3 linked regions of the Ovis aries genome follow. The protein of the gene in region 3 purifies or fractionates together with the protein of the main gene of each other region. This does not show direct contact. Links are inferred from orthologs where the notes say so. Each region holds a gene or a part of one and is shown on either strand. Other genes may lie near its edges. The genes, in order: KLC3, KLC2 and KIF5B.

What was found.
Region 1: the proteins of KIF5B (region 3) and KLC3 purify together in Homo sapiens (affinity purification with mass spectrometry; 3 studies listed by BioGRID and IntAct, with this or other methods). This does not show direct contact. The link is inferred for Ovis aries from reciprocal best matches to the Homo sapiens genes KIF5B and KLC3.
Region 2: the proteins of KIF5B (region 3) and KLC2 fractionate together in Homo sapiens (co-fractionation; 7 studies listed by BioGRID and IntAct, with this or other methods). This does not show direct contact. The link is inferred for Ovis aries from reciprocal best matches to the Homo sapiens genes KIF5B and KLC2.

The regions. Positions count from the first base shown.
Region 1 is NC_056067.1:52,758,473-52,762,217, reverse strand, and holds the start of KLC3 (kinesin light chain 3), read right to left. Parts: upstream 2,226-3,745; 5' UTR 2,132-2,225; intron 1-2,131. UniProt on the Homo sapiens protein: Kinesin is a microtubule-associated force-producing protein that may play a role in organelle transport. Plays a role during spermiogenesis in the development of the sperm tail midpiece and in the normal function of spermatozoa.
Region 2 is NC_056074.1:40,746,608-40,750,252, reverse strand, and holds part of KLC2 (kinesin light chain 2), read right to left. Parts: intron 3,013-3,645; coding exon 2,782-3,012; intron 2,627-2,781; coding exon 2,557-2,626; intron 1,899-2,556; coding exon 1,676-1,898; intron 1,053-1,675; coding exon 965-1,052; intron 878-964; coding exon 776-877; intron 687-775; coding exon 513-686; intron 419-512; coding exon 319-418; intron 1-318. UniProt on the Homo sapiens protein: Kinesin is a microtubule-associated force-producing protein that plays a role in organelle transport. The light chain functions in coupling of cargo to the heavy chain or in the modulation of its ATPase activity.
Region 3 is NC_056066.1:32,694,267-32,698,011, reverse strand, and holds the start of KIF5B (kinesin-1 heavy chain), read right to left. Parts: upstream 2,635-3,745; 5' UTR 2,229-2,634; coding exon 2,103-2,228; intron 2,078-2,102; exon of another isoform or gene 1-2,077. UniProt on the Homo sapiens protein: Microtubule-dependent motor required for normal distribution of mitochondria and lysosomes. Can induce formation of neurite-like membrane protrusions in non-neuronal cells in a ZFYVE27-dependent manner.

The sequences.
Region 1 (3,745 bases), on a different chromosome or scaffold from region 3:
GGAAGATCCATATGCCACAGAGCAATAAGCCAGTGTACCACGACTACTGAGCGTGCGCTCTAGAGCCGGGGAGCTGAAACTGTGGAGGCCAAGCGCCTAGAGCCTGTACTCTGCAACAGGAGAACCCACCTCGACGAGAAGCCCACGCAGCAAGGAAGACCCAGCACAGCCAAAAACAAACCAAACGATAAGAAGGAGAAATAAAACGCCAGACAGAAAACAACGTATGGTTACCAAAGGGGGCAGAGGGTGCGGAGGGATAGACTGGGGTTAACATATACACATGTAAAATCAATAACCAACAAGAATCTACTGTAAACCTCAGGGAACTGTGCTCAATATATTATAATAACTTACAGTGGAAAACAATGGGAAAAATAAAGAGAAAATCCAACCGAATCACTTTGCTGCACCCCTGAAACTAAAAGCCAGCACACAAATAAACCCCCCTCCCTCACCCCTCTTCACTTGTGAAAATGAAACCCAATCCCAAGTCACTCCCATTCGGACTGTCTCCTTGAACATGCACTCTCCCACACCTCCACATCCTGCCAGCGCCAGCCCTCCATCCCACGCCTCCCTCCCTCTCGGCTCCCAGGACTCGCGGTGGACCTGTCATCGTTCCTCCCCGCTTCCTCCACCGCCCCTGCCCGGCCACACACAGACACACTAGAGTTTCACGCACGAATGTGCGAATGACCCGATGCTGGCTCCTACACCTTCGCAAGCGGGTGCCCACGGCACAGACACACGGAGACACACAGAGTTCCACGTTCTCATGCACAGACTCGCAGGCTGACTTCACTCCACCCGTGGCATCCCCGAAAGCAGCGCTGCGCTTTTCACACCTGCGCACATGCTCACAATCACATCCACTCAGACACAGAGCAAGGGCAGGTGTGCAACCACAGGGGTTTTGCACACTGCAGGCTCTCCACCCCGAATCTCCCTCTTTCCCTATGTGTATGTGTTCACGCACATATCGATCTCCATGTACGTTGTACATGTGTGTGCGTATATCACATCAGACTTATTAACAGCTTCACACCTTACACGCAAGTCCTATAAATGATCACTCACGACCACGCCAGTTCATTGAGTCATCTTGACAACCATGACCCTTATTCACGTATACAACCTCCTACAACATCAAGCACAACCTCGAACAGCTGAGTCGACTGTTCCAGACACGGCCTCATAGAGTACCGCTCACAGAGATACATACAGCTCGACCACAGCCACGCATCACTCGGACTGTCCTTGACACGTCTCCCACACTCACACATCCTCCCAAACAGCACACTCCCCTTCACCTGCTCAGCCTCGTGTGTACCAGCACACAGCTGACCACAATAATCAGTCACACTCCACACATCCATCCTGTACCCCACAGCACACACCTCCCTGCCATCCCCGCCCCCACCAGTCTTACCATCAGAGAGACAACCACGGCCATGCAATTTCTCGGTCACATACCTAACCCTATAAACAGTTCAACTCTGCCAAACACACACACACACACAGCATTACAGACTCACCATCAGAGGTGGCCCACATTTTCACACCACTGAAAGTTTCACATCATTCACACGGTCCTTTGGTGCCCTCGCAGGGCTAAACGGACAGGCCATCCCCGGTACCAACCTGTACCCACATCTGTACGCACCGTTTGACACCATCACACACATCTGAGCTTTCTACACCATCTCTCGTGCACACTCACGCCCAATATCCACGCACATATACACTTGCAGCGGGAGTGTATGGACCGCTCCCCAAACCACACAACTTACCCCTGGCCGGCCGGCTGAGCCCCGCGCACCCCGGTTTCACAGCCCGCCAGCCTGCCAGCCGGCCGGGCCGTCACAAGGGCCCCCTCCCTTTCCCAGGCCCCGCCCCGTCCTCGCGCCTGTTTACCTGCGCCCCGAGAGAGGGGGCGCGGCCCCAGCGCGCCCTCCAGACCCGGGAGAGCCCGAGAGCGGGACAGGGGGCGTCCAGGGACCCCAAGGCCCGTCCCCGTCTCCAGGCCATTGGTCCCAGGGGTGTGCCAGGCCCAGCCCACACCCTCTGCCCCCGCCTCCATCCTCTCGGCTCCTGGGACTCCCCCCCACACTCCTGGCGCCCAACTGACCGCGAACGGCTCCAAGTCCCGCTTCTCCGCGCTGCGCACGCACGGCCGCCGCCCGCAGCTGCGCCCGCAGTCTCCGGCCGCGGGCGGCTCCTCCGCGGGGCGGGGCGGGGCGGCCCGCAGCCCCGCCCCGCAGGTGAGACCGGCCCCGCCCGCCGCTCCTGGAAAGTTAAGCCCAGCCGCCCCAGCGCTGCGGGAGTAGCAGAGCCTTGTGCGCGCGTTTAGCCGGTAGTCTCTGCGGCACGTCGAATCCGAGATGATTGCAGGCGCGCGGGAAATGAGAGTCTCCGCGAAACTAGAATCTTGGAAACTCGAAATCTTAGAAACTTTACATCCCAGACGGATGGCTTTCTTGCAAGGCCAGCCTCCGGCCCTTCGCCTCGGCTGTGCGCCCGCTTTGGAAATCTCTCCACATACATCTCGACGCTTGTCCTTTTTCAAAGGCCGTTTCCTCCGAGAGGCCTTCCTTGCCGCTTCTAAAATACACCCTTCCCACCGAAACACAACCTCATTTATCTGCTTGATTTTGTTAATAAATTTTTTCAGGACCTAAAATTATATAACATTATAATTACTGTGTTATGTTACATCAGGTTATTGGCGAGGCTAAAAATCTGGCTCTGAGTTCACATCATGTTTCACCATTTACTGGCTGTGCAGGCTTTGGACAGTAACTTAACCTCTCTGTCTCCGTTTCCCTGATCTCTAATGGATTAGTCAAAAGCTGTGAGGACTGAATGCCTTAATATATGGATTGGAAGCATTTAGCAAATATTAGCTGCTGATTTTGTGGTGTTATATTATTGGTTCGGCTTTCCAAGCGGAGCTAAAAAAAGAAAAACCACCTGCCTATGCAGGAGATATAAGAGATGCGAGTGCGATCCCTGGTTTGGGAAGATCCCCTAGAGGAGGGCATGGCAGTCCACTCCAGTATTCTTGCCTGGAGAATCCCATGGACACAGAAGTCTGGCAGGCTACAGTCCTTTGGGTCACAAAGAGTCAGACACAACTGAAGCAACTCAGCACAGATGCATTATTGTTCTCCCCCAGGGAAAGGTGTACATCAAGGCTGTATATTGTCACCCTGCTTATTTAACTTGTATGCAGAGTACATCATGCAAAATCCTGGGCTAGATGAAGCACAAGCTGGAATCAAGATTGCCAGGAGAAATATCAATAACCTCAGATACACAGATGACACCACCCTTATGGTAGAAAACGAAGAGGAACTAAAAAGCCTCTTGACAATAGTGAAAGAGGAGAGTAAAAAAAAAAAAAACTGGCTTAAAATTCAACATTTAAAAAACTAAGAACATGGCATCTGGTCCCATTACTTCATGGTGACTAGATGGGGAAACAATGGAAACAGTGACAGATTTACTTTCTTGGGCTCCAAAATCACTGCAGATCTTGACTGCAGCCATGAAATTTAAAACATGCTTGCTCCTTGGAAGAAAAGCTATGACCAGTCTAGACAGCGTATTAAAAAGCAGAAACATTGCCAACAAATGTCCATACACTCAAAGGTATGGTTTTTCCAGTAGTCATGTATAGATGTGAGAGTTGGACAATAAGGCTGAGCATTGAAGAATTGACGCTTTTGAACTGTGGTGTTTG
Region 2 (3,645 bases), on a different chromosome or scaffold from region 3:
TTGACTGTCAGGAGCCAGGAAGGTGGCTTCCCAGAGGGGAAGACATTTGGGCTGGGCCCTCCCACTGAGCATGTGTTGCCCAGTAGAGCAAGGGGTAGAAGCTCAAAGCTGAGGACACAGGTGTGCACAGGGAGGGCATTGCATGGATCCAGCCCCCTGGAGGCTGTGCCAGTGGGGGGGCGTGTGCTCACATGTGCACATACATGGCTGCGGACCAGCCAGACACCTGGCGCGAGGCCTGCCCAGCCGAGGTGTCTGCCGTGGATGCTGGTGGCTGAGCTGGCCTGCGCTGGGTGAGCCCCCGGCAGCCCTGCTCACCGCTGACAGAGCCGAACTCCTTCTCGTGAGCGCGGGTGAGGATCTCCTTGTACAGGGCCTCTGCATCCTGGTACTTGCCCTGCTTCAGGTAGCAGGAGGCCTGGAGGGGCAGGGCCCAGAGGTGAGCAAGATGGAAGGAATTGAGTCTTTTCCCCTCCTCCCCCCTCCTCCAGGCCCCCTCCGCCCCAGGACACCAGGTTGTTCTTGGTCTTGGCCACGTTGGGGTCGTCAGGCCCAAGGCGTGTGGCATAGATCTCCAGCGCGCGCCGGTAGTAGTATTCCACCTCCTCGGCTTTGCCCTGGTTCTGGCACAGTAGGGCCAGGTTGCTCAGCTGCTTGGCCACGTCTGGATGAAACTTGCCCAGGACCTAGCACCAGAGGAACCAGTGGCTGGGCTCGGGGCCAGCCTAGGGGCACCCCCAGCCCACCTGGCCGGCCCTGCGCTGCCTACTCCCACCTTCTCCCGGATCTCCAGCGCCCGCTTGCACAGGGGCTCAGCCTCCTTGTACTTGCCCCGCTTGCCATACAGGACTGCCAGGTTATTCAGTGTTGCAGCCACCTAGAGGAGGGGAGAACAGAGGCTCCGTGACCTGGGCCCTGCTGGGACCTGGGACCTACAGAGGGGCGGGGAGGAAGCCTCACTCACAGCTGGGTGGTCCTTGCCCAGAGTCTTCTCGCGGATGGCCAGGGCATCATTGAGCAGGTGGGCAGCCTCCTTGTACTTGTTCTGGTCCCTAGGGGCAGGTGCGAGCTGATGAATGGTATCCTCCAGCCCAAGGCCCTCCTCCCCAGATCCCTGGGGTCACTCCTTCTGCCTGTTCTGATGAGTGAGCACGATGGGGGTATGACCCAGGGCACTGAGAAACATGGTCAGCCCCTGCCCTCCGGCTTGGCGGGCTCTGGGCAGGAAGCACATGCAGTGCTGGGGTATGAGCCAGACACCCCCCATGCCCTGCCCTCACTGCCTCGTGCCCAGTGTTCCTTGTGGTCTATTCCCCAGGGCCTCTGCTCCTGCTGCTCTTTCTGCCAACAAAACTTCCAATCCCCTTACGTTTTGGGCAAACTCCACTTTCACCAGAGGCCCGCCTCAAGCCTTGGTGTTGGAGAGGCTGTGCCCAGCGCGCTTGTATGTTGCCCCCTCCCCAGTCTTGTCCAAGCCCATTTCCCGCACTAGACTGAGGCATGATGTGTAGCCCAGGCCCTGCTGTGGGCTCAGCCCTCTCTGGGGACAAGATCCTTCTGTCACCCAGCTTGCTGCCTAGTGGAGCCCGAGTCCTGGCCCACTGCAGGCACCAGTGCTTTGTCATCCCCAGGAAGAGTGCTCCCACAGGTGACCGTGGTCGGGGGGGTGCCTCACCGGTAGACCAGCGCCAGGATGTTCAGCATGGTGGCCACGTCCGGGTGGTCGTGGCCCGATGTCTTCTCCAGGTCCTCCAGGGCCTGCTTGCAGAGGGGCACGGCCACCTCATAACGGCCCTGGGAGGCGTACTGGATCACCAGGTTGTGCAGGGTGCGCAGCCGGGCCGGGATTTCATAGCCCCCGTGCTGGGCGGCCACATCGCCTCCTCCAGGGCTGGGGGCTGCAAAGCCAAGGAGGGGAGGCCAGATGTACCCCCTGAGCTGGGGGGCAGCTTTGACTGATCACACCCGTGGCCCTGGGCAAGTCACTGTCACCCTCTCTCACTTTCCGCATCTATAGAGAGGGTCCAGGCAAGCCACAGAAAGAGAGGGTGGAGGCCCAGCTCTGGTACTTCAAGCCATGTGGCCCAGAGCAAGCCGCCTCGCTCCCGAGAGGAGCGGCCGCCACCTCATCTGCAGAAGGGAGGCTCTGATTGGCACAGGAAACATGAGCAAGGCCAGCACTGGCCCGGGGCTCCAGCCTGGGGTTCAGTGCTGCGCGTGCGTCCTCCTTTAACCCTCGGGGGAGGCTCGGAGAAGAAAAGAAACTCTACCAGCGGTCACAGACCAAAGAGTGCAAGTCAGGGCTCGCACCCAGGCCGGGCGGCTCCAGGGCTCTGAATTGTGATGCCTGCTCCTCACGGAACTTGAGGGGATGAGAGAAGCAACAGGTAAAGCCAGCCTTTTAAGTGCTCATGCTGGGATGTTATGATCAGAAACGAGGCAGGGAAGCACCTGGTGGTCACTCAGTCAGACCTCGTTTCCTGTGACCTCTGGGTCCCAGGGACTGGTTCACCCAGTCTTCTTTTCCCACCCCCAAAGCCAGCCGCCCCTCTGCACCTGGGTTCTGCTCCTCCTCGCTGGGGAACAGGTCATCCAGAGAGTCTTTGGGGACATCCCCCTTGTCCTCCTGGGGAGGGAGACAGGATGAGCGTCAGGGAATGTGGGCAGCCCAGGGGTCAGCAGGCTGGGTGGGAACTGCGCTTGTTCCCTGGCACCTCCCCTGGTCCTGGACCTGCCCCCCACCCCCCGCAGTGGCCTTGCAATGGCTACACCGGGGCTTACGTTGGGGGGGGTGTCCTCATCCAACTTGCGGATCTGGCTCATGAACAGCAAGTGCTGCTTCTCCTCTTCGAGCTGGGCCACGGCCTGCTCGCTGCGCTGCAGCTTCTGCTGCGTCCCCGCCAGCTCCTCGCGCAGCCACTGGTTCTCCTGCACCAAGCGCCGCACCTGGGCCCGCAGTTTCTGCTTCTCCGACTCCACGGCCCCCAGATGGCTTGAGAGCGCCAAGATCACCTGTGGCAGACAGCCAGAATGGAGGTCAAAGCCCTATCCACCCGCCCCCACACCATGCCCAGCCTGGGCCTCCTGGGGCCCAGAAAAGAGCCAGGCCTGGAGGAGCTGCCAGCCTGAGGGTCCCAAGTTCTCTCATTGACAGAGTTTTGCCCCAGGGCCCCAAACAGACCACACACAGCCTGAGACCTGAACCCAGGAGGCTTGGGGATCCCCAGCTCCTTCCTTTTGCAGTAGGGACCCCTGGGCTCCCAGGCTGGCTCTGCTAGACTCTGAAAGAACCCATCATCCCCTTTCCTGGGGCCTCCAGCTAGCCCTCCGCATAGACGTCCAGTTGTTCTGATCATGAAGAGCGCTGACTGGGGTGCTGCCCGTTCTCCAAGCTGGCCGCTCTCTTCCTGTCTCTCTGAGGAGTTGTACTCAAGCCCTGTAGCCAGAGCCACTAAACCACTGCCCCTGGCCCAGGGCTAGCACTTTTCCAAAGATTCCTGAGAGATGGCTGAAAGGATACCAAGAGACCCCATCCTGACTTCTGCCCAGGGGCCACCTGCAGCTCCCAGGGAGAGGAGTATGTGTCCTAAACCCCTGGTTTTCTGGGGAACCAGAGAGGCAGGGAAGGGGATGCAGGGGCCTCAG
Region 3 (3,745 bases):
CATGCAGAAGACTGGTTTCTGAAACTAATGAACTAAACATGTCGCCTTACACTTTCTAAAGCTCTATCACACTCAGTTGTCATATACTTCTGCTTATACTTAAAAAAATAAAAACCCGAAACGACTAAAATGCTTACCAGTTTATGTAAAAGTCAACTAACTGTACATTACTGGTTTATGACTAAATTACCTGTCCATGATGTTTAATATCACCACTTGAATTGACTTAAGTACTAAGGAAACCTAAGTAAGGAACTTAAAATAACTTTATCCAAAGGAAAAGAACCTAAAATAAATGTGTGCTTCCTGTGCTAATTGTTTATTTTCTTTTAACTCTTTCCTCCTATCTTATGTCATATTTGGCCCGCAACAGAAGGCTATCTTCTAACCTAACCATAAAACATTTTGTGAATCCTAAATCTTACCATTACAACAAATAAATTTTCATAATACTATAGGTTTGTGTAAATACCCACATACAAAAAAAAATCTGAAGAAATAAAACAGCCTTAACACAAATCTGAAAGGAAAATAGCTTGGTTATGTCAACCACTATAGAGGCTGAGTAATCACAAAAATCATATGAGAAACTAACAGCCTACTAGTGTTGGCCAACTAACAATCCAGGCCTAGTGAGCATCCTCTAAAATCATGTGAAATATCTCATCCTGAAGGAAAAGGATGATTAGTTTTGTGTATAACTTCTTGGCCTCTCCATGATGTCATGTATAGCAAGGGTTTTTCTGTGGACTTGTTAACAAAGAACCAGCCTGACAGTCTTCACACAGTAAGAGCTGGCAGTTATTAGGAACCTAATGACTTGTTTGCCAAAACCCTCCCAAGCAATGTGGAGCTATGACATTAATCTTCTAGAGCAGAACTTGGAAACTTTCACATAAAAATTCAAGGAACTTGAGTTCTGTCTTACATGTCAATGCTTCTAACCTTCAATGTTCCATCTCCTGTGATACTTCTGTCCCATTTCTACATTAAGATATTTAAACTTATGCTAAATGGTAAGGTGAAAAAGTTAACACTAAAATTGGGAGGCGTGATAGCAATGTAGAAAGATGGCATCAGCAAGAAAGAGGAATTTAATTTTTTGTCAGAGTTCACTGTTCTGTAGGCAGTTATCTTACTCTCCATTTTAATCTCCTTGAATTGGGAATTATTTTCAAGACCTTTCACGTTATGTTTCACGTTACAAAAGACATTATCTCACCATCTTTGTGATTATCGAAGTCATTTTTCTTCAAGGCAGATCCTAATTGTAGAAGTAGGAATCTGATACTAACAAGAAATCTAGTTTACTGATTAAATTTTTATATATATATATTTTTTAAGTTTGCTTTTATAATATTTTGATATACACACGAAAAGTTAACACTCTTTCCCGGAGTGCTACCCCATAAAACCCAGTTAGTCTCTTGGTTACTTATTTAACCCAGCGTTGATCGGCGAGATCCGTTGGTGGATGAGACAAAATCGAGCGCTTCGATTTCTAAAGAAAACTCCTTTCTACAAGTCCTGGATTAGCCATTTGTGACTGTAAACTCAAAAAGCGGGTTGGGTGAACACTGAAGGTACCAGCATAACTGCGACTGTTAGTTATGGTTTTCCTTCTCCACGGAGGAAACAAGACGGCCTAACGCACCTTAAAGATTTCTTTTAAGACTAAATATCATTACTATTTAAAGTTCGGTAAGGCAGATCCCAACGTTCTCGGCCGAACTCTGATTTATGAATGATAAATCTGAGGGGAAGGGGGTCCGACACACCGACTACATCTACATCAGAACCTGCAGGCGCACAGAAAGCCGGCGAACGAGCACTCAACTGGTTCCCCGACAGCTCCACCCGCGCCCCAGGTAGGGGAGTGCCCGGGACCCAGGGCGGGTGCCTCCCGTCCCCGGCGCTGCAGACCGGGGTGGGGAGACCCCGGAGCACCCGACGAGGCGCCGAGCCCCTCCCCTGGGCCGTCGGACCCCACTGGGGAGGCTGGGGCGCCCCAAAGCTCGCTCTCCGCTCACTCCCCACTTCTCTCAGCTCCCGGGGCGGCCGGGCCCGAAGGAGGGAGCCTGGGTGGGGGCAGGGGCACTCACCGCGATCATGACCGTGTCTTCTCCCTGAAACTTGGCGATGTACTTATCGCCGCGGTTCACCTCCGACTCGTTGAGCGGTCTGAAGCGACACATCACTTTGATGTTGCACTCGGCCGGGTCCGCCATCTTCCCGGCTGCCGGGGCCGGAGGCCGGGAGCCACTCCCCGCCGCTCAGTCTTGGAGGAAGTAGGCCGAGCCGAGGGGGCTAGCGTGGCGAAGGCCGAGGGCCCGCGGTCCGCAGCGTCGCGCTTCACCGGCGGGGCGGCCGGGACCTGGGCGGCAGCGCCCGGGCCGGCACGGTCACCCACAGGCTCACTTCCGACCCATCATGGCAGCCATGGCGGCGGCGGGGCCTCCTCAGCTTCTCCCTTGACTGGCGGGGCAGGTTGCTGGGCTGACGGATCCCGGAGACCGGGAGCGCGAGCCCCCCTGTCTTCCTGGGAGACAGCAGGCCGAGCCCACCTTCAGCCTGCCCGGCTGTCGGCTCGCCGGCTCGCCGGCTGCAGCCTGACCACTCCTGAGGCCGCGGACTGGCGGCGGGATGGGCGGCGCGGACGGAGAACTGCGCACGCGCGGCGGACCGGCGCCCCGGCGACCAATCCGCGGCCGCGCCGCTGCTCCACGCCGGGGTTGCAGGGCCAAGTTACCGGACGCGCAAGCGCAGAGTGAGCTATCGACCCCGCAGGGGATTCCGCGGAGTTAAGCGATGCCCTAACGTTTTTTTCTGTAGAGGACAAGGGACCTTGTTAAAAGTGCTTGACGTTGTAGTTTAAGTGAAAAACTATATTCCTGTTAGGACGTGTTCGCTTTCTGTTTTGTCTGGAGATACATTGATTTCTAGCCCACCTTTTTAGAGCGCTTTGCCAGAAAAAGGAAGATTTGAATGAAGGGCGGGACGTGGCTTATGGTTCAAGTGGTTGCTCATTCCTAAGAGAGGGGGTTGGGGGACAGGAATAAGAAAAAGGAAGTTTCGTCTGAGGACTAGAAGGTGCTGAAGAAAAGTGCAACAGTAGGGTAAGGTGGGAGAAGACCCCCGGAGAACTGGCGGTCCCAATGACTCCGTAATAATCCTATGGAACTCATCAGTCTCCACATCTGGAGTGTGAAGACAGAAAAACTGCAAAGACGACTAGGACCGCTAATCCTAGTCCCCGATTTTTGTTCGTAAAATGGAAGAGTGTAGGACTTACCTAGTGCTCCAGTAGTTAAGAATCCGTCTTGCAATGCAGGGGGCAGGGGTTCCATCCCACGTGGAGAAACTAAGATCCCACCCAACATGCTGCTGCAGCGTGGCCAAAAATTTAAAAAAAAAAAAAAGAGGCGTGTACTATTGTTTAGTCGCTAAGTCGTGTGGGACTCTGCAGCCCCACAGTCTGAAGCACCCCAGCCTTCCCTGTCCTTCAATATCTCCTGGAGTTTGCTCAAAGTGATGTCCAATGAATCAGTAATGCTGTCCAACCATCTCATCCTCTGCCGCTACCTTCTCCTGCCCTCAATCTTTCCCAGCATCAGGGTCTTTCCCAATGAGTCAGCTCGTCGGATCAAGTGGCCAAAATATTAGAGTTTCAGCTTTAGTCCTTCCAGTGAATATTCAGGGTTGATTTCCTTTAGGATTGACTGGAGAGGACTCTTGAGAGTCTGCT